Linked DNA regions of Ovis aries. The protein of the gene in region 2 interacts with the protein of the main gene of each other region in a biochemical or structural test. Links are inferred from orthologs where the notes say so. Each region holds a gene or a part of one and is shown on either strand. Other genes may lie near its edges.

Region 1 (10,954 bases), on a different chromosome or scaffold from region 2:
TACACAGTCAAGCAGATTTGACAGCAGAGGGCATAGAGTTACCTCTGCCGCAGCTAATATGAAACTGGAAATTTCATATGAAACTAGAACATTCCAGGCAAAGGCACTTGTTTGAGAGTCGGAAAATTCACATAGCCAAATGTATGACCCAGAGTATCTGAGATATCTTCAGTGCCTCTCTCAGCGGGTGTTCTAGAGTTCCTCTTCTGCCTTTCCCTCCTTCCATCACTTTGTTCATTAGGTCGGGAAAGACTCTAATGATAAACGTCATGAGGGTTACTGAAAGACAGCAGCTAACATCTATTTGATACCCATGCACCACGCCAAGCACCTTACATGTACCACCCCATCTAATTCCCACCCCTTTCTGGAAGCAGGTACTGCTATTCTATAACCCCATTTTACAGATGAGGAAACTGAGACTTAGGAAGGTTATATAACCTGTCCAAGGTCACAGAGCTAGAAAGCAGTGGTGCCGGGGCTCAAATCTACAGCTGACTTCAGGGCCTTCCTGCTGTGACCAGAACTGCTTGGAGTGCTGGAGTGAGATTGTACTTTCAATTTTTTAAAATTTATTTTTAATTGAAGCATAATTACAATATTGTGTGGTGTTCTGCCATACATCAATATGGATCAGCCATAGGCATACACATGTCCCCTTCCTCTTGAGCCTCCCACCCCATCCCACCCCTCTGTGTTGTCTCAGAGCCCCAGATTGAGTTCCCTGAGTCATACAGCGAGTTCCCACTGGCTATCTGTTTTATATACATTAGTGTATATGTTCGGAGAAGGCGACGGCACCCCACTCCAGTATTCTTGCCTGGAGAAACCCACGGACGGAGGAGCCTGGTAGGCTGCCGTCCATGGGGTTGCGACGAGTCCGACACGACTGAGTGACTTCACTTTCACTTTTCACTTTCATGCATTGGAGAAGGAAATGGCAACCCACTCCAGTGTTCTCGCCTGGAGAATCCCAGGGACGGGGGAGCCTGGTGGGCTGCCGTCTATGGGGTCGCACAGAGTGAGACACAACTGAAGCGACTTAGCAGCAGCAGCAGTGTATATGTTTCCATGCTACTCTTTTAAAATATATCATCACATTATATCGAGATCTTACAAAAGAATACTTAGAACCTATGCATATGTTTTTGAAGCATCAAATGAGCTGCTAGGAATCTACCCTCAAACTTACAAGCTTCAAAACTCCCAGTTCCCTTGGCATACCCCGCATCTTCAAATGAGCTGCTAGGAATCTACCCTCAAACTTACAAGCTTCAAAACTCCCAGTTCCCTTGGCATACCCCGCATCTTCCTCCTCCCACCCTCTCCCCTTGTCTGACCTCCAGAGGGAACCACTATTCTGAATTTTGTGCTCATCACTCTCTTGCCTTTAAAATATGAGAACTGGACCACACAGGCATGTGTCCCTGAGAACATGCTTCTCTAACAGGAAGAACGGCCAACTGCTTCCCGCACAGGGCAGCTGAGACCAACGTGATCTTGGCTGGCCCAGGAGGCAGGGGCCAGGGAGACAGAGCCAGGGCCCCAGGAGGGTGGCGAGGACGCACCTGAGATAATCTCGGCGGCAGAGCTTCCGGCCCAGCTTGTAGTAGAGGCGCCGGCCCACCTCGCCCAGCCGGCACCCGCAGAGGTCACAGCTGAGGCAGTCCTCGTGCCAGTACTGGTCGATGGCCTTCAGGAAGTAGCGGTCCCCGATGTTCTGCTGGCAGCCTCCGCATGTCAGCAGGGACGGGGGCATCTGCAGCACCTCGTCCACCGGCTCCCTGGAAGGAAGGCCACGCATTAGGGATGGCCTCACCTCGGGGAGACCAGCACCAGGGGCTCAGGAGTCACACTGCGCCCCGCAGAGAACCTCACTCAATTGTCTGGTGACATCGGAGAAAGGAGGGGAGGAGCATACACCTAGGGCCGACGATGGGCAGGGAGGCCCCGCCAGCCTTGGGTTAGGACAGGAAAGGGGCTAGCCCCTACGTTCTAGATCCTAGAAGAAGCAAGGGCGGGGCACCAAGAGGCACCCAGGCAAAGGGTACTGCACACCCCCGTCCACCTACAGCCCAGCCCCCTCCCAGACCTGTGGTCTCTCTTCTTCTTGATCCCCCCTCCCCTCAAACTCTACCTCCACACCTCATCTCTTTCCTCCCCCCATATCCCGGAGCCAAGGGCACTGCCCAACCCCAGAGGAGGCACCAGGACTCTAAGAGCTGCTTGTGGCCAGAACAGTGACTAACTAGCGGATTAAACATCTTCAAATTCCCTTTTGAATCTCTGCGCCACCTGGACTCCATCCCTTTCCAACTGCACGAATGTAGAGGTGAGGAAGAAAGGGTCCCCAAATTATTTTAGGTTGCTTTCTCTTTCCCAAATAAAAATACCATCAAGATATAATAGAAATTCTCATTATTATTATTTTTAACAGAAACTCCACATCCTATCCTTCTTACGGAATGAGTCCTTGAGGAAAAAATCTCAGGTGTTGATTAAAGCCACTGTTATATTTATAAAGATCAAACAGAACTTTTTGCACATGAACACTTTTACAGCAGCAAATCTGATTCGCATGAAGTTGATTTAGGAAAGAGAATGGGGAGAGAGTGTGGAAGGCAATTAAACACTGAAATCTCCTCCAGGCAATTGTTAAGAGTGAGCCTGTGACATGTGTTCTTTCATTACAAAATCATATAGTGTCCCCAGTTCACTTAACTGGAATCTGAATCCTTTTGTTTTACATTTTAAAAGAAATAACTCTACTTGCCAGAAGAAGATAAAAAAATAATAGGGTGCGAGAAATGATTCCTGCACCAGATGGGACATGGGAAAAACTGAGTACCTGTTGATCTGTAGCAATTAACAAATGCTCTCTTGAACTTCACTCAAACACAAATCTATTTATCAAAAATCTGTTATGTTTGGAAAAATGGACTTGCTTCTAACTGTGAAACTCCCAAAGGGAATTTCCCCCTTGGTACCTTGAGGATATAAATCTGTGTCTCCTATTTCCAGCTGATGCTGGCTTACTTGGTGACCTTGCATCCTGACTGGCCTGTGCCCACAGCATTTAAGGCCCTTTATACTTAGGAAGGATGAGGCTCAGGGAATCAGTGTTGATAACACACTCTGACACCTTCAGAGAACTGTCTTTAAAGTGCACGCTTCCCTGTGAATATTCAAGCATATTGAAACCGAGCCCACACTTTGCAGAATGGGTATGAGGGTCCTTTGTGAGATGATCTCCTTTTAGCCCAGGGAACTGTAAAACCCAAACTAATTATCTCCTAAAAACTCCACACTTTAAATAGAGTTTTAAACATCCACTGAAGCCTGACTTGTCTTTGTTTCCACAGGTTATGTATAAGGACTTCCACCCTCCCTCCTGAAAAAATAAAACACCCAGCATTTCCCTGTGCCTCAGAATCACTTCTCTTCCCTTTTCACAGCCCGTGGCCTTATTTAGGCTTTCAGAAACATTCATGGAACCTCAACACCACTGGATGCCCTGACGCAGATCCTGCCAACCAACTGTGAAAGAAGAGAATTTGCACTTAGCTGGTGCAAAACTGCCTGGAATTGAAATGAACTGCTCCTGTTATTCACAGGGAGGCAGGAGGGGCCACCGACGGCACAGTAGAGGAAATCTGTGTGTGTGTGAATTCTGGCTGTCTTTCTGTCTAAATGTTTCATTTGCATAGGCCTAGGCAAGTTTCTGGGTGTAATTTGGAGTTGCTGATCAGACTGACCTCAGTCACACTGACCCAAGTATGTACTCACTGAAGCATCTGGTAGGGTAGTGGTCCACAGGAGGAAATGTTAAGCCAAAAAGCTACTGTCTGTGATGGCCTAATATGAGATAGGAAAGGACTGAATAAGATATTGGCTCTATCTTTCTATAATTAAAGATAATATCACATTATCTTTGGTGGAGGTTCCAAGCCAATAACTGTGGGACTCACCCTCTAATTAATATTTTACATTCTCCTAGAGCCTATCTGAACATTACACCTCAATACACTTTGGCCTGGATTTCTGGGATAATTTCTCAACAGTTTCCAAGAAAGATATGGGGGAAAAATGTTCTGCAATAATTTCTCAGCTAGCTGGTCCATCTCCAATTAAAGCCTATCTTCACTGGGCAAATAGTGAAGCAAAGGATAGAGAAGAGCACCCTACTGAGCATCCTTCCGCAGATGCCTGCTGTGTTATGAGGTGAACATGTTTCAATTTTCCAGTCTCTTTGTGAAAAAGCACAAACTTTGAAAGGAGCAACCTTCCTTCAGGGAACTGAAACCTCCAGATTTATCTTCTAATAAAAAGATTAGTGACTAAGTTCTATTGATCGAAAAGGCATTAGGCACCTTTCAAAGGTAATTCATCCAATGCACTCTCTTATTGTATTACTATCATCTTGCCCAGGCTCTGAAAACTCAGGGCTAAGTTATCATTCTAGGTTTGTAAAAAAAAAAAAAAAAAAAAAGTGAGCAAAGCACCCTTCCCAGAGTTTTCCTAAACAAATACTTAAAAAAAAAAAAAAAAAGCAATGTTATTTTTTTCCCTGAGAATTTAAGGAAGCTGGGTTTTTGTTAGAACAAACCTGACTCCTTGTAGATCTGGCTTCTGAACCTTCAAGATTGAATAGTGATGTTTATATTCTCACTGGATCATGGTTACTTCCTGTGTTTTATGAGAACACGCTGAGCTTTTATGCTGGTAAAACCCAGGTATATAAACACCATAGGAGGCTGAAATTGGGAGGAGGAGGTATTTCAATCAGGAAAGCACAATTCTTTTAAAGCAGGAAAAGAAAACAAAACAAAACAAATGCCTCTTAAAAGCACAAATGGACAAGTCATTAACCAGCTCCTTTGGTCTGTGTAACAAATCCCTTCAAAGGATTTAGATGGGGACTTCAAAGGAATAAAAATTCTCAAAACCAGACAGCTAATGAATCTTAAAAGGGCATTTGCGCTGACGGGAAAATGACATCTTAAACATCCCTCTCTCCCCATGTTAACACTGAGCAATGGGCTCAGAAAACAAATGCGGTTCATTTAGAGCTCTGTTTCCCAGACCCTAAACCCTTTGAGATTGTGACAAAAGCCGTTTAAGACTCCGCTCTCCGGAAAAATTCACCTATATCCAAAATGGTGCACTAACTTTGGAGGTTCAAAGGTACCCATCGGTGGACTCCGAGGGGAGAGGCGTGTCCGCGTATCCAGACTAACTCCCGTGTTGCTCGGCTGCTCTAAAGTCTCTGGAGGCCTGGGTGAGCTCCGAGGTGAACTCTCGCACCTCCTCACCCGTGGGTCCCCGGCGCCGTGGGCAACCGCTCCACCTGCGGACCCGGAAGGGGACCGTCGGGGACCCGGGGTGGGGGGCTCCACTTGTAGTGTCCCCCTTTCCAGGACCAAACGGACAAAGAGAAGGAACGAGAGGGGAAAAGGGAGCAGAATCGAGTCCTGAAGGCTCTCGGGACTGCACCGGCGCGCCTCTGACCTCCCCTTGTGCATGCTCCTGTGCAAACTTTCTGGCCCGAAGTGGCTTTAGGGAGCGTCCCAGGGAGCCGCGAGGGGCCCGCTGAGGCGCCGGGCCGACCGCATTCCTGCCGCCCGCCACCAGCCCCTCTCCCAGTGTCCCCGGGGTCACCCAAGAGGATGCGGGAGCCCCGCGCACGGCAGAGGGAACCAAGGGCACGCCGCGGGCGCGCACCTGGAGCCTTCCCGCCGGCCGCCCGCCCCACCCCGCCGCTCCGGGTCGCGAGGCCGTGGACCCTCGGTGGCAGGGGCGTCACACTTACTCAGATGGGTCCAGGCTCTTCCTCTCGATGGCCGAGGACATTGGGGAGGGAGGTGGCGTGCCAGGCGGCGGGGGCGCTCCCTTTGTGGCGCGGGGCTGGCCGGCTGCCGGGGCTCGGACCCCCTCGGGTGCTCGGGCGCCGCCGCCGCCGCCGCCGCTCCTGCGCCTCTTCTTGCTCCGGCGCTCTGGCGGCGAGCTCGCCCCTCCGCGCTCAAGGACAGTCACCGCGCTCCCTTCAAACGCCAAAGAGAGAGAGCGAATCACCGGGCTGCCGGCGCGCCGCGGCCGAGGAGGGGACCGGGGCGCGCAGCCTGGCCCCGGGCGGCTGCAGCTGCTACTGCTGCTCAGGACTTAACCTTCCATCCCGGTCCCGCCGCCACTGCCGCCGCCGCCGCCGCCGCCGCCGCCGGGTCTGGCTCGGCTCGCGCGCTGTCGCCGGCTCCGCGCCGCCCGCGGGGATGGTGCGCGCCCGCCCGGCCGCCCCGCGCCCCTCGCACCTTCAGCCGGGGTCGCGGCGCGCAGCTCGCCGCCGAGGGCAGGGAGGGGGCGGCGGCCTGGGGGCGGGGAGGGGACCGCGCCTCTCTCCCCCGGCTCCCTCCTCTCTCGGGAAGGTCTATTTTCGCTCAGCTTCCCTCTGTCTCTGGTTTCATTTCCTTTTTCCTGATCACGATTCAAATACAATAGAAGGAAATCACATTTAAAGAGACAGCTGCCCGGTCCCCCCCGCCACCACCATCTTTTTTCTTCCCTTTTTTTTTAAACGGGGCTCCTGGGGATTAGCGATACAAACAGCGGCAGCCGCAGCAAGACTGAGTTGGCTTCTTAAAGGGGCCAGCGTCGGGGACAAGGGAGACTCGCTCAGAGACCACCTCTCCTTGGAGAGGCGGCTGGGTTGCCTGTGAAGCATTCTTTAGGGCTTTCCCTCTTCGGCGTTCCCCTTTTGGTTAACTAAGATTGAAAGTGACCAGCGGGCCGCTCAAGGAAGAAAGAAAAAACGAAAATGTGAAATAAACACATACAGAGATGTACGCGTTCCAAGTGGCTTTCGCGCGCGTCCGGGGTTGGAGGTCCCAGGTCCGCGGCCAGGGAACGCGGAGATGCCCCCAAGACAGCGCGGCTCTGCTGGCTGAGGACTTGTGACTGCGTCCGCGCTCCAAAAAGACGACGGGAGCTGTGCGAGCAGGGACCGCACGGGCTGGGTACGCCTCAGCAGCACCAGGGGCAGCTAATCCCGAGGGAGGGTGTTTGGGAGGGACCAAGCTGGTCTGAGTCTCCTCTCCATCTGCCGGCGGCAGAATTCCCTCCCTCAGCATCTTTAAAAATCGGACCCCTACAGTTAAACTGGCCCCGTAAAGGGCCAATAGCACTCTTCACAGAGAAAAGTGCCTCTCCAATGATGGAGAGCAATGCTTGGAGACTATTTTGCCCTGGGTCAGGAAAAGAGAGAGAACGCAGACTTGTTTGGTTCAGGCTTCCCCATCTAATCTCAAGGGCAAACTCCAAGAAGAGAGGCGAATGTAGAACGGGAGAGGAGGAAGCTAAAAGTCTTCTCTTCAATAGAGCAAAGCTTTAGGTCCCTTGGGCCTCATCAGAGATCCCTGAAAATAATTGCATTCAGAAATTATTACTAAAGGCCTACTTGAGCGTGCCACAAGTCTTGTAAAGAAGAAACTACCAGTATTCTCAGGATCCATGGTTTTATAGGAGCAGTCTAGATCATGGTCATGGACACTGTATTCCCTTTTTAAAGATGGCACTGAAGGGTCTGGATGAAATCACCCTGGAAGGTGAAGTCAGAAGTACATCCCTGTAGGCTTCGTTTTCCTTGTTTAAAGCTGATTCTAACTTCTTACATGCATACCTAGAATTTACCATTGTCTGCATGCTCTTGTCCTTTTCTTATGTCCATGTCCAAAGCTTAGGTCCCTATGGGTATAATGAAAATCTCTTCCTAATTCCTCCACTGTCTCCTGTGTGTGTGTGTGTGTGTGTGTGTGTGTGTGTGTGTGTGTGTGTGTGTGTGAAAGGAAGTCTTAAGAGCAGATTTGGGTCCAACTCAAGCCTTTCAATCTAAAAAGAACTTCTGCTCAGGTCCCTGTTTTTAATTAAAAAAGGAAAAATGTCTAGTATTTTTAAGTCAGTCTAAATTATGTGATAAACATATAACCCACCACTCTACAATCAAAAATGAAAATAAACAAATAGGCTTTGATGAGCAATTCACCTGCTTACAACCAATCAGTGTGGTGGTGAAACGCTCAGACTTCGGCATTGGACTGCCTGCATTTGATTTAGGCTCTTACTTATCAGCTAGTGGAGCCTATCTAGGAAAGTCACTTAATCTGAAGAGGCAGTATTGGGTAGTGGCTGTGGAGTCAGGCTGCCTTCATAACAACCCACGCTTTCCTACCTGTGAATCTAGTGGAAGAGCAGGAATCTATAAACTCCCAGGATCCTTATCTGTCAGTAGGGGTATGAGAGCCTGTTGCATCAACTGTTGTAAGGATTAAAAGAGTAAACGCATGCAGTGTGGCCCGTAGACCTGTAATGAACTGAGGATAATAATGGATATGAGATTACATGCCTGCAAAGCATTTGGTGTATATTAAGCACTCATAAATGGTCATTTCTGTGTTGTAGAAAAAAATCGCTGGGAGAATTTAGAGAGTTTGAAATTAAATTCACAGGTGAAATGGAGGTTAAAAATAAGAACTTCCCAATTTCCCACCTAGATTTGAAAACCTGTCCCATTTTTAAAAAGCAAACAGAATGGTGTCCTTTCACTTCACCTCCTTGTGCTAGTATACAAAACATACATGCATTTTCCAGTTCACTATCTTGATGACTGCGTGATGTGTTTTCATCTGCTTGCTTTTATTAAATCTGATAAGTTGCTTCCTTCCTTGCTATATAGTTTTGCATGGAGCCTAAGTTAGTTGTTAAATTAAATATATCCTTGGGTTTCAGGAGGTAACCTCCAAACGGCCAACTTTGGGACCTGAAGTTTCCTTTTAATAATATGCTTCTGTTTTGACCCGAATGTGTAAAGAAAGAGTGATTACTGATGACTTTGGGTCAGTTTCTTATCTTTCACTACTCTTTGGGGAGAACTTCCTTAGAGAAAGTGAATATTTGAAATGGTATCTTAAGATTTCAATTTCACACACAGTGGTTGTAAGAAATAACTGCCTGCCGGTGGGATTTCATTTCTATTCAACGGGCAATTAAATTGCTCAAATTTAAGTTTAACATTTAGAATCGAGTCTCAAAATGTGTTTTCATTATGAATAATTTTAAAGCAATCATGACCTTATTGTATCCTTCCATAGCAACCTTATGCTTTATGTAGAAGAACGACTCAGTAACTAGGAGGCAATTTGAACATGTAAAATGGTTCTTGAGAGTTGAGGAAATCTCGACTTGATCCCTCCCCAGTGGGTTTGCAATTTAATTCCTTTTACCCACCCTTGACTGCTTGCAAATCTTACATACCTTAAAATTTAGAAAATTTCCAAGTTTTCCTTCCTGACTATGAATGTCACAGGAAGACTGAATCAGTTGGCATGATGATTCTGACTCTAGGTGGATTACTTTCTTTCTGTTGGCATTTTCTATTCTTTTTGCTTATTATATCTACAATTGTTTTCTCAGGAAGAGCAGTTTCAAGTGACTAAGGCTACATTTCTTTGCTAAAATGGGCTTCTAGTAGAAAGGAAAATGCAAATGTCATTGGGAAAATGCCAAGAATGACAATTTACCTCTTCTGTTTTTTTTTGCAACCTTTAGAAGCCAAGTTGCATCATATACCTGTTAGTTATGACATTCACGTATAGGGACAAAAATAAAGATTTGTCTTATTATGGCTTCAGCTCCCATGGAAACTCCTTTAAACAACTCAGTTTTCACAGGAATCTGGTTTCCAAACTCATCTCAGAACATTTCAGGGCATGTTGATGGACATATTTTCAGAATGTTAGATCTATCAGTAACATTAGTGAAAAATAAACCAGTTTTCCTATATAGGAGAAAAAAGCCCGGTAAATCTTTTTCAAAAATCTTTATCAACTGAGTTTAGGAGATGAGCATAGGTGTCAGAAGGCATAACTCCGCTGTTTACTAGCTGGGTGACTTGGGGGAAGTCATTTCACCTCTCTGAACCTCAGATTCTATATCTCTCAAATGGAGGCAACAGTAAACTCAGCAGGGTTGGGACTAGAGTAAGGTCACAGGGATATCTGCTTACTTCACAGGGGTTTTAAGAGGATTCAATAGGGTCATGTGTATAAAAATGCTTTGCACAGTGATGTAAATGCTCAGAAATGATACCTGTTGTTATTACCCCATCTTTCAGAAGTCATCACTACTGTATCAGGAAGCAGCAATCTCCTAGCCAGTCAGGACATCCACCAAAGAATGCTGAGACTGGGGTGCTGTAGAAAAAGCTGAAGTGTACCTAAGACATCAGCTGGCTTCAGGCTTGGGAAGCCCCCACTTTCCAATCAGAAATTCAGGAATGTGACCATTTAGGTCCTAGGTAGGCTGTTGACAGCTTCATCACTTCCCTTCATCTGCTTCAGCCACAGCCCTGATTGCATGTTTCTGATTTTCCAGCAACTTCTAAATCACCTGTTAGGACTGAGATGAGAGACAAAGTCAAACTGCTTAAGTAACTGCCCCCAAATGTCACAAGTCCGCAGCGAGGTCTTAAGCAGAGTTAAACTCATGGCACGTCTGGGTGGAAGGAGCCTCTGAAATGTGGTTTCCCAGCTTGCTCCTTGGAGCAGTTTGAAGTGTTTCCCTAGTAGCCTCCACCCGTTCCTGCTCCAGCCACAGCAGCTCTGCACCTATTGACATGTTGCTCAGCCTCTCTGGACTTCAGCTTCTGCATCTGTAAAGGGGGCATATTCAGGGTACCTATCTCATGGAACTGCTATAACAATTCTGTGAAATGAGACATATTATATAAGGTACTTGGAAAGGAGACAGGCACAGAGTAAGCTTCTGCAGAAGATTCAGCTTATACAGAGAGATTCCAGCTTTAAAATATTTGAACACCTGTTGGTGATTCAGGGCCCCATTGATGGACAAGGCAAGTGAGACCTAGAGTCAACAGTTCCTTCTTGTCTCTGTGCCCTTCAAACCCTCT
Region 2 (11,119 bases):
GTGCGCTGACCGACAGGCCCCAGATGCTATTTCGGGCGGCGCTCCGTTCAGCGCGCCGTTTCCGTTTTTCCATCGACCGTCGGAAACCGGGAAGGGGGGCGAGTGTAGACGTCACGAGCCCCCAGCCCCAGGCGGGGGGCTGGGGGCCGGGTCGCGATGGCCGCCAGACGGTCAGAATCTGGAGCTTCGCGGATAGAGGGGGATGGGGAGACGTCACCTCACCACGCGTCTCTCTGCGCAGCAGGGCTGACAAAAGCCGTACCTGTCCCTGTTCCTTGCTCACAGCCCTTGGGGTGCCCGGCGGGGTCGTTTAATGCCCTGTAAAATAACCCAACAGCCTGGCGGTTCCTCCAAGGCACCTAAACTCGAGACATTTAAAACCAAATGCAGAATCCCTTATCGTTCCCTTTGGCTTCCAAGCCTCCATCACCAGGACTAACACACCCATCGAGGCAAATTCAGCCAAAAACCCAGAGGGTTCCTGGATCTCTCCTTGCCCCTCACCCCGCCAAACCAAATCTTACACCTGATTTGTGTTCTAAATACATGTCATCTACCTCTTGCCATTTTCCTGGCAACCCTCGTCCCCTCCCGTCCCCTCTCCAATCCCCCTTCCTTGAATCACTGCATTGTCTTCAGAACTGACCTCCCCACATCCTTCCCACCCCCACACACCCTTTCTCCACCTTGCAGCCAAATGGCTTTCTAGAAATGCAAATCTGATCCTGTATAGGACATTACGCTCCCACACCCAACCAAATAAACATGATGGTCCCCTCCTCAATTCTTTGAATTGTCCACAGCCTTGCTTCAGCCATTACTGGACTGTTTTCTGTTCCTTTTATGAACCTCAAGTTCTTCTCCTCCAGCCCTTGGTTTACCTGGAAGGCTCTCAGTGCTCAGTCCTCTAAGCTACCCCTCAGCCTACTCTCCCATCTCAGCCCAGGCATCAATTCTAAGAAAGCATTCCCTGGCGGGGCTCTCCCTTTTCGCAGTTGCTCAGAGATGTGAAATGATTTGCCCAATGGTGCCATAGCCCAAGGGTGGTAGCGCTGGGCTTTAAATTTGGAATTATTTGAATCCCACCCTTTCTATTTAGTGATGCAGCCAAGCAAAGGCAACAGAAACCAGAGACGGGAGAGATGAAAGCCCACCCCCATTGCAGAGAGGTTTCAAGAAAGAAAAGGGCAGGGACTTCCCTGGCGGTCCAGTGGCTAAGACTCCTTGCTCCCAAAGCAGGGAGCCCCGGGTTCAATTCCTGGTCAGGGAACTAGATCTTGCAATGCCACAACTAACACCTAGTGTAGTCAAGTAAATAAATATTTAAATGAAGAAGACTAATAAAGGGGTAGAATTTGGTAACTAACAGTGGGTGAAGCAGGGCTAGAGCCCTGGGGAGATGGGGCTGAGTGAACCACATAGACCTCTCCCCTGAGTCCCTTGCCCAGCAGTTGGTGTGGCTGGGCCAGAGCAGGCTTTGTGGCACGTCCGGGAATTAGACTTTTTCCCAGGACATGGGTAGCCTCTCTTCCATAGGATTCTGTAAAGTTACCCATGTCCACATGGTATCCTGACTTCCACCAGAGAGCACAAGAGAAACAGAGGGAACAGGCTGCACTGAATTAACTGTATCTTTACAGAGAGTTACCTGATAGACAAGGAGGAGCTGGACTCAGGCTTTGGACACACTCTGGACTCAGTCTTCGAATGGGACTTGTTCCGTGAATTCTCAGGCTCCAAAAGGAGCTCAAAACCAAGATGCTAGAAGGACAAAGAAGCCTTGCCTGGTGGGTAGAGTTGGGGACTGGGAACGGGATAACTGAGTTTGGGTCTTGGCTTTTCCTCTAGGTCACTGAAAGCTTTGATAAAGTCACGTCTCCTCATGACCTAATTTCCTTCTCTGTAATGATAACCAGAACTCCTATGTGCAAGTGCATAGGATGTCAGCCTGGGCAAGGTTCCATAAATTATTGCCCTCACCACCTTTTAAAGATCATTTTATATAATGATATATAATGATAACAGTTCTCTGGGGTTGTTACCCTCCCATTTTACAGATAAGAAAGCTGAGGTTCAGATCTACATGACTTGTAGTATTTGAGCTTCCACAGTAAAACAATGAATCTATATACCTTCCATAGGCTGAGCCCACTGCCTTGTGGTTGTTCAGCAGCTCAGTAGTGTCCGACTCTTTGCGAATCCATGGACTGCAGCATGCCAGGCTTTCCTGTTCTTCACCATCTCACAGAGCTGTTAGTGAGCAAGCTGGATGTCAGTGATGCCATCCAACCATTTCATCCTCTGTTGTCCCTGTTTCCTCTTGCTTTCAATGTTTCCCAGAATCAGGGTATTTTCTAATGTGTCAGTTCTTCTAATCAGGTGGCCAAAGGATTGGCGTTTCAGCTTTGGCCTCCGTCCTTCCAATGAATATTCAAGTTTGATTTCCTTTAGGATTGACTGGTTTGATCTTGCAGTCCAAGGGACTCTCAAGAGTCTTCTCCAACACCACAGTTCAAAAGCATCAATTCTTCGTCATTCAGCTTTCTTTATGGTCCAACTCTCATCCGTACATGACTATTGAAAAATCATAGCTTTGACTATATGGACCTTTGTCAGCAAAGTAATGTCTTTCCTTTTAGCATGCTGTCTAGGTTTGTCACAGCTTTTCTTCCAAGGAGCAAGGGTCTTTTAATTTCATGGCTACAGTCACCATCCACAGTGATTTTGGAGCCCAAGAAAATAAAACGTCACTGTTTCCATTCTTTCCCGATTTGCCATGAAGTGATCAGACCAGATGCCATCATCTTCGTTTCTTTGAATGTTGAGTTTTAAGCCAGATTTTTTCACTGCCTGCCCTCTCACAGAACCCAGATTTTTAGGACACAGTACAGATCTGGGCTCCTGCAATGAGTTGAGCCCATATCTGTCCTCCAAGCCTAGGCTCTGGATGGGCTCTGGAGGATTCCGGTGCCAAATTTGCTTCAAACTCAGGTTTCACCACTCAATAGATCTGTAACACTGGGGAAATTACTTTTCCTGTCTGTGCTTCAGTTTCCCTATCTGTTAGGTGAAGATCACCGCATCAACCTCTTAGAATTGTTTGTGAGAACGAAATCAGTTAGTATTTGTACAGGGCTTCAGTGTGTGTTAGTCGCTCAGTCCTGTCTGACTCTTTGTGACCCCATGGACTGTAGCCCGCTAGGCTCCTCTGTTCTTGGAATTCTCCAGGCAAGAATACTGGAGTGGGTTGCCATTTCCTCCTCCAGGGGATCCTCCGGACCCAGGGATTGAACCTGGGTCTCCTGCATTGTGGTCAGATTCTTTACCAACTGAACCACCAGGGAAGCCCACAGTGCTTCAGTAGTGAGATTAAAATGTTAAATGTTCCCGAGCTCTGGGCTCAGCCTGAAACTCAGTAGAATGGATATTTTAAACACTTAGTTGTCACCAGTTCCTCCTCCCTAGAGCCCGTTGGAGAAACCTCAGTCCAGACATTCAGGCAAGCAGGCTCCATTTTAGAGCAGAAAAGAGACAAGGTTCAGGGGGGATGGGAGTGGGAAGGGTGGGAGCTGGGGAGCTTTCTGGGCTAAGAGGAACTGTCCCTTGAAATTCGGGTATCTAGGACACTAGAATGAATAGATGTCAGGGAAGGAAGGGTTAGATGTGACCGTTTGGGTGCTGTGGTCTGGCTGAAATGCGAGTCGTTGGAGAAATGTGTCTCGAAGGAGGAGGGACTGAGGTTGTGGGGAGCCGGGAGATCCGGGAGGCCTCGGGATCTGTAATGAGGCTGCACCCGCCGGGTCCTACACAGAGCCCAGCTCTCTCCGTGGCGCATTCCGGGGCCGGTCCCAAAGCCGTGCAACCAGTCCCCACTCCCCTCCGGTGAAATTGCCAAATTAAAATGAATCATTTGGCCCATAATGGCCGAGGCGCTTATCGGGGGCGAGCGGACCCGCGGCAGTGCCTTATCTCCGCGGCGCACACGGCCCCCGCGCGCCTCGGCCCATGCTAACGAGGCCTAGAACGTGAGCGGGATTAGAGCGCGGCGGTGGAGGAGCCGGGCGCGGCGCGGCGCGGCGCGGGCGGGCGGGGGAACGGGGACGGGGCCGGGGGGAGGGGAGGGCTCGGCACTAAGGACCAGGCCTCAAAATGGCCACACGCGTCCCCCAGTAGCGGCAAAACGTGAGCATTCTGGCCTTTTTCTAGGGGAAGGCAACCTGCAGCCTCTCATGGAATTCCCCATCAATTTCTTCCCTCTTTTTGCCCGCTCGCAAAAACAAGGTTTCGCTCCTTTTCCCTCGGTTTCTTTCGATGGGGGGGCATTTTCCAGGGACGCCCTTGCGCTCGCCGCCGCCGTCGCCGCCCCTCCCGTCTCGGAGACTCTCTTCCTTCCTTCCCTTTTTTCTTACGCAATATACAGAAATGCGCGAGGCGGTGGTTGGTTTTCGTTTCTTCTTGGTGGTTGTGGGCATGCAGTGGAATTGTTGAGAGTGCGTGTGTGAGCTATGGACAGTGTTGACTTCTGAGTGTGGTCTTCCAGGCGACAGGTTGTGTGTCCCAAGTGTGATGGTGCTTGTGCTGTTCGGTGTATAGATTCGGATTCTCCGAGGCCCTTCTGCGTTTTCATCGTTGTAGATACAGTTATGCTCGTTTGCCTTCTCGACATGTATGTTGGGTTGCTTGATCTCGATTGTGTTTGGATAGTCTCGTCGTTGTTTTGGACGTCCGTGATCCTGACTACCTTGGGTCGTGCGCCTAGGAGCGATTGCATTTGATCGGTTTCGTTGTGTCCTGCTGGACAATGTTTGGGCCTGACCGAGTCGGCTTGTGGGGCAGTGTTGCGCTGTGCTTACTTTGCTTCCCTTCTATGCGGCTGGTCCGCGAGTGGCCTTGTCCACCCCGGCTTGTGTGGCTGTGTGCTAGTGTCCTTTGGAAGTGCATTTGTAAATCGCTGGGGGTGGAGGGGAGGGCGAACGAGCGAGAGATGGATGCGCAAGTTGAGGAGGCGGCATGGGGGCGGGGTGAGGGATTTCACATTTTATTCCAATTTATGATGTATTCGGAAGCCAGTGTTGGCTTGGATGAGCAGCTGGATCAGCGGCTGCTCTGTCCGGAGGCCAGTCTGTGCCTCAGTGTTGGAGGGGTTTGTTAGTGAGTGGGAGCCTCTTCCAGGCTGGAAGCTGAGCAGCGTTCGCGGAGGCCCGCGCCTTCAAGCCGGTAGCCGCCAGCTTCGGTTCCCGCGGCACTCAGGCTTCGTCCATTTCTGGTCAGTTTCACGGGTACGGCCGCCGGGGTCTGCGGGAGAGGCCAGGAAAAGACAATGGGCGCATTCTCCAGGCCTCGCGCCTCGGGTGGGGACTTCGGGATCATCTCCAAGGAACATTTTTCCACCCCTTCCCCGGGTGAGCCACATTCCCGCTTGGGTCAGATACCCCGTCGCATCGATGACCAGGGCCGGGCTAGGTCAGTGCTGCCCTAGCTCCTAAAGAAAGGATTTTGTTTTGCCAGTGGTTGTGGTTGCTAATGTCATCATCACCATCACAGTCATCGTCATCACCATCATATTTTAATTAAAATAGTCATGTAGGAGCGACTAGTCCCTTTTAGCTTCTTTGGGGCGATAACAAAGCAGCGGGGGTTTCCTCCCACCAGCGCTCTCTTTTTTAAGTTGCTGGGTTTGTGACTAGGGGAGAAATGGAGAGAGGGAGGAGCACAGAGACTCCATCCTAAAGCAAAAATTAACCCCGACCTAAGACACCGGGCACAACTGGATTTCCCCTTGTTCTCACCCCTCCCCCCTTTTGAATTAGAAGAGGAGAAAGAAAATCTGCATTGGATTGAAACTGCAGGGAACAATTATTACTGTATTTTCACTAAAGCCAGGGCAAAAAAAGGTGGCATTAGCTATTAATCCAAGACTTCGATGTGTGGCCATAAACTGTACGATTTCAGCAAAACAAATTAAACAAAACCTTCCACAGGGAGAGGAAAAAAAAGAAAAAAGGCAAACTAAATTTCCCTGCCACTACACCCTGGGAAGCAATATTTGATTTATTTTTACCCTCCCTCCTTTCCTTGTTTACTGCTGCAAAGAATTAATAGAATTCTCTTGTACTCTGCTGACTTGAATACGGAAGAATCGAAAATTTTGTGTAGGGATGGTTGGAGGGAGAGGCAGGACCTTCCTTCTCTCTCTTTTTTAATTTCTTTCCTTATTTTCCCCTTCCTCATCCTTTTTTGTTTGTTTCCCATAATCGGTAGGAAGAAAAAAAAGGGACCTGGATACATCAGATTCTCTGCCCCCTTCCCCCTATTCTCTCTGATTTCTGCGGTTCAGACTGTGTTGTATCCCTTCGGGAAAGTAGTCTTTGGAATTGGGTTCTGGTTTCGGTTTAGGTTGGAGGTGGGGCGGTGAGAGTCAGAGAGAGAATGGGGCTTCTCAGAGGTTTTGTCCCACCGACCACGGTCTAAAGACTGGATCCCCCTTTTGGTACACACATCCCCCTACCCACCCAAGCCAGGCTGCGGACGACTCCGGTGCTGTGGCCGCAGCTCTGACTCGCCTGACTTCGGTTCCAGAGCCAACCGCTGTTAGAAAACAAACGAGCCACACTGAACCCTCCGGGTTGGAGGGTCCGATAATGTTCAGGGCAGTCTGCCGCGAGCTGTTGTTGTTGGACTATGTAGTTATTCCTGATTGGTCAGGTGCCGGGTTCTTTTTTCTGGGGGTGTGGGGGAGGCTTCAAACACCTGCAGGTCGGGGGTGGAAAGCTGCTGGCGATCCCCAGGGTTGGTTGAGGAGGACATGAGGTAATTCCCAGCCATTGACCCCCATTTCTCTCTCTCCCTCCCTCTTGCCCTCCCTTTCTCTCCACCCCCATCTTTCCTGGAAACTCGCTTTGGGCGCGGCAGACCGCCCAGGACCACACCGCGGCCTAACTGGCCTAACTGCCGGGCTCTCGGTGAGAGACGGGGAGAGCAAAGACCCCCGTCCACAACCTGGACCTCGACTCCCACCTCTCTCTGGCCGGAGGAGTGGAGATCCTATTCAGAGGGGCCTGTCTCTCTAAATATGCCCCAGGTGAGTTTTTGGGGGGATGACAGGGCTGATGGAAACAGTCACCAGGAAGGCCTTGGGATCTGGCCTGAGGTGGGGAAAGCTGGGGACAGAGGACAGTCCAGTTTCAGATTGGGGAGGGGGAGAGGAGGATGAACCCAGAGCTGGGAATCCTGAGATCTGACTCTGCCACTGACTGCGGCCTCTGCTACTGTGGCTTCCAGCAGGGCCCTTTCCCGCATAAGAACAGTTAGTTGGACTGTATTCCCCCTAATGCTCCATGGTTCCGTAAATGTTTCACAAGGCTCATAACTTTGGGACGGCTGTATTCGGATAGGTCAGGTTGTGTGCAGTGGGGAGGGGAGGGCCCCGGCAGGAAGAAGGCCGCAGCCATCCTGGCTAACGCAGTCCTAACTTGGGTGGGCCCAGTCGGGGGCCTCAGGCCTAGGGTGGGGCTGCGTTCGAACACCCCTCCACACCAGTAGCAGCGGGAAAGTGGTTCTGTTCTGGGGTGATTGTGGTTTGTGTGCAGGCTTGGGGCTCCCCTAGGGGGTCATGCCGGGGTGGGGGTGTGTGTGGATGCAGTATGAGGGACCGACTGGAGGCCAAGTCTAAGGCAGTGGCTCTAGCCCAGGGCATGGCGGAGGCTGCTTTTACACAAAAAATTTTCCCTGCTGGGGATGGGGAACTGCCAGAAACCAGGTGTCTGCCCCTAGAGCTCTCAGGTTCTCCGGTCTCCTTCAGACACATATGGAAATGATCCGGCTGCCTGCCTGGCAACAGGAGATGAGCCGAGGTAGGGGGCTTGGAGCTGGGATTTGGTCGCACAAAGAGGAGTTGTAATGGTCGAATAGTCCAGCGCTGTTCAGTTCAAAATCTGCAATCTTCTCACTCCCCTTCTTCATTTTCCCTAATAAAAACAAGTAAAAATCACTAGGCTTTCGTTTCGATAATCTTAACCAAAGCCAAGTGATCGGGTTTAATCACCGATCACCGAAAGTGAATTCTGCAGTGACTTCCTCAAGAGTCGGGATCCCTGGCCTTGGGTGATCCTGGTTGCAGAGAGCAAGCAGGGTTTTCCTGAGGTCCCAGGAGGGGCGGGGAGAGGTTGGCCACAAAGCCCAGGGGACCAATTATAGGTTTCTCAGGGGGAGTCTGAGAGATACAGATATTTATAGGCATCTGGAGAGAGCATTCGGGCCAGAGTCAACTCATCTAAAATACTTACTCCCACCACCCCCACCCCCTGAGATCTGATCCTACACAGAGCCTCAGAATGAATCAGAAGGTATAAGCAGGAGAGCTTGGGCTCATTTTGGCGATTGCATAGTGAACTGCTCGTCATTCATTTAGAAGCTGAGACTGAAGCACGTGTCACTGGGTGCACAACGGTGCGTGGGGATAGTAAGGTAGGGAGCCAGCCTCTTGGGGCTTGTATGTTTTGCCAGAGGACTGTATATTTCCAATGCATTTCACTGTTGAGGGGAGCCAGGAAGTCTCTAGTGGTATACTTCTGGTGCATTTCTAGTGACTGAAGTGTCTTGGCAGTCCCATTCTGTGGATATAGACCTATTGTTTCCACCATAATCATAAACTCGCTTCCAATGAAGTGTTGCGGACCTACTGCCTTTGCAGCCAGGGTATACCAAGTCTAAGGGAATTTTGTCGTTTTGGGGTCCAGCCCATGGGGCTGGCAGACTTAGGGCAGGAGCATAATTGGAATGGTGATTATTCATCAGCTGTGTCTGGTGGCAACTAAGCTGAGTGACATCTGGAGGTTTCAGAAGGTCCCATCTTTCTTCTGGGGTGGGAGGATGGCTCCCAGGCCAACTAGTCCAGAGCGGTGCAGGGGCAGAATGGCTGCCAGGAATGAATTCTCTGCTTGGGGCTGAGTTGGATTTTTGTGTATTTTTTTTCTGTTATAAAATACCCCACTTATATAATTCCGATAGCAGAAACTTTATTTTGAACGTCTTATAAAGCCTGTCGAGTTGGTTATGTTTTTGTTGTTTTATTAAAAGTGACAAATATTTTCACACTCTGGACCCGGAGTCTCATAGTTTTTCTGTTTTCGGTTTGTGTGTGTGTGTAGGGGTGGTGGCGGTTGTTGCATGTTATGGAAGAACTGGGAGAGAGTGGAAATGCAATCACTCTGCCTGCAGTCACCCTGGAGTGTGGTTGAGGAGGAGAGCAATGTCCTTGGTTGGAGATGGGGGGATATATGGGAGGGACATATATGGGGGATATATGAGATATATGAATATATGTGTACCGAAGATAAGCAGATAAGCGACTTAGCATGCATGCATGCACTGGAGGATTGCAAAGAGACTGGAGTTCTAGTCCCACTCTTTGTGACCTTGGGCAAGGCAGTCCCCTTTCGGGCCCAGTCTCTCTGCCTATAATAATGTTTACTTAAGCATTTGCATAGTGCTTTTAAATGCATATATGAGGTATTCCTCTTGTTCCCCAGAAGACAACACTGAAGTGGGAAAGGGAGATGGGTGAGTGCTGGAGGAGTTCCCCAGCCATCATTACACCCCTTCCTCACATTCGTGGATGGGCGCCCAGAGCCCAGTGGCCTTAAGAACACTACTCTTCCAATGTCCGGGCTCCACACCGCCTCAGCCAGGCCTCCCTTCTAGACCCCCACCTCACTGCTGAGTCCAGCTGAGCAAAAGGAAGTACAGTGTGCAGGGAGGTAGGGCCTGGATCATCTTCTTCCCTCCCTGATGACCCATCTCCAGTCCTGGTGGGAGTAAAGGGTCACTGGACATTCCAGCGGCTCCACAGAACACAGGTGGATTTGCTGGGTGTAGACCGACACCCCCGCGGGGGTGGTGGTGAATGTGTGTTGAAAGGGAGAGCTGAGTTCCTTTGGATAATTCTCTGCCAGCTCTGATCACTCCCGCACCCCCACCCCCACCAGATTTCCAGGTGTACGTATGTGGGTATGTGGCGGCAGGCTGGGGGCACGTTGAAAGAAGAGGGTGTTTGCAAAAAGCACCCCACCTCCGCGCGACAGGTTCCCCGCCAAAACCAAAAGAGGGGCGGGAAGAGCACAGTCGGTCGGGGATTTGCTCCCTCCTCTTCCCGTGCGGCCCCGAGAAGGGGCACGGGTGGTATTTCTTTCTCGCCTCTTTTTGCATTTCCTTCCTCCTCCCTCCCCTACCCCCCAACTCTGTTTTTCTTGCGCTGGCTGGATTTGTATTCCTTTTCTTCCAATGTCTCTGGTGCTTATCCACCTCTGTCCCTTCGGCCCTCAGTCTCTGTCTCCCAGGCATCCCCTTCTCTTCTCCCAAACCGGAGACCCCCCTTTCTCTCCGGCCCCAGCACCCCGGGCTCGTGTGTGTCCACGTGGCGTTAAGTTGGTCCGCGTCTTCTCACGTCTTCGTGCGTGAGTTTCCCTCCGCTCTTCACCCCCTCCCTCAGCAGCCGCCCCCCGCGCCGCCCCATCCCGCCCCCCAGCGTGGGTGGGCCGGGGGCCGTGGTCTGAGCGGGCGTCCGCTTGTCTGTCTGTCTACCCGCAGGATGACGGAGCAGCCGCCGAGCGAGGCGGCACACAGTGACCCCCCGCTAGAGGGACGGGACGCGGCCGAGGCCCGCATGGCCCCCCCGCACCTGGTCCTGCTGAACGGCGTCGCCAAGGAGACGAGCCGCGCGGCCCCGGCGGAGCCCCCGGTCATCGAGCTGGGCACGCGCGCCGGCGGCCCGGGGGGTGGCCCCGCCGGTGGGGGCGGCGCCGCGCGGGACTTAAAGGGCCGCGAGTCTGCGGCGGCCGAAGCGCGCCATCGGGTGCCCACCACAGAGCTGTGCAGACCACCCGGGCCCGCGCCCGCCTCAGCCCCCGCGGAACTGCCCGGCGACGGCCGCATGGTGCAGCTGAGCCCGCCCGCGCTGGCGGCCCCCGCCGCCCCCGGCCGCGCGCTGCTCTACAGCCTCAGCCAGCCGTTGGCCTCTCTCGGCAGGTCAGGGCGGGCGGGAGGGGCGGGTGGGCAGGCGGCGCGGGCCCTGGGACTCCCCTTCCGCACGTGGGGAGTCAGCCATCCCCTCCCGGCCAGG

What was found.
Region 1: the proteins of TAL1 (region 2) and LMO2 form a complex in vitro, tested with the Homo sapiens proteins (2 studies listed by BioGRID). The link is inferred for Ovis aries from reciprocal best matches to the Homo sapiens genes TAL1 and LMO2.

Annotation. Positions count from the first base shown.
Region 1 is NC_056068.1:63,293,149-63,304,102, forward strand, and holds the start of LMO2 (rhombotin-2), read right to left. Parts: upstream 6,314-10,954; 5' UTR 6,172-6,313; coding exon 6,165-6,171; intron 6,042-6,164; coding exon 5,810-6,041; intron 1,785-5,809; coding exon 1,569-1,784; intron 1-1,568. UniProt on the Homo sapiens protein: Acts with TAL1/SCL to regulate red blood cell development. Also acts with LDB1 to maintain erythroid precursors in an immature state.
Region 2 is NC_056054.1:21,771,171-21,782,289, reverse strand, and holds the start of TAL1 (T-cell acute lymphocytic leukemia protein 1), read left to right. Parts: upstream 1-4,126; 5' UTR 4,127-4,643; coding exon of another isoform or gene 4,644-4,666; 5' UTR 4,667-5,081; coding exon 5,082-5,266; intron 5,267-6,744; exon of another isoform or gene 6,745-6,805; coding exon of another isoform or gene 6,806-6,810; intron 6,811-6,912; exon of another isoform or gene 6,913-7,081; intron 7,082-8,308; exon of another isoform or gene 8,309-8,466; intron 8,467-10,587; coding exon 10,588-11,025; intron 11,026-11,119. UniProt on the Homo sapiens protein: Implicated in the genesis of hemopoietic malignancies. It may play an important role in hemopoietic differentiation. Serves as a positive regulator of erythroid differentiation.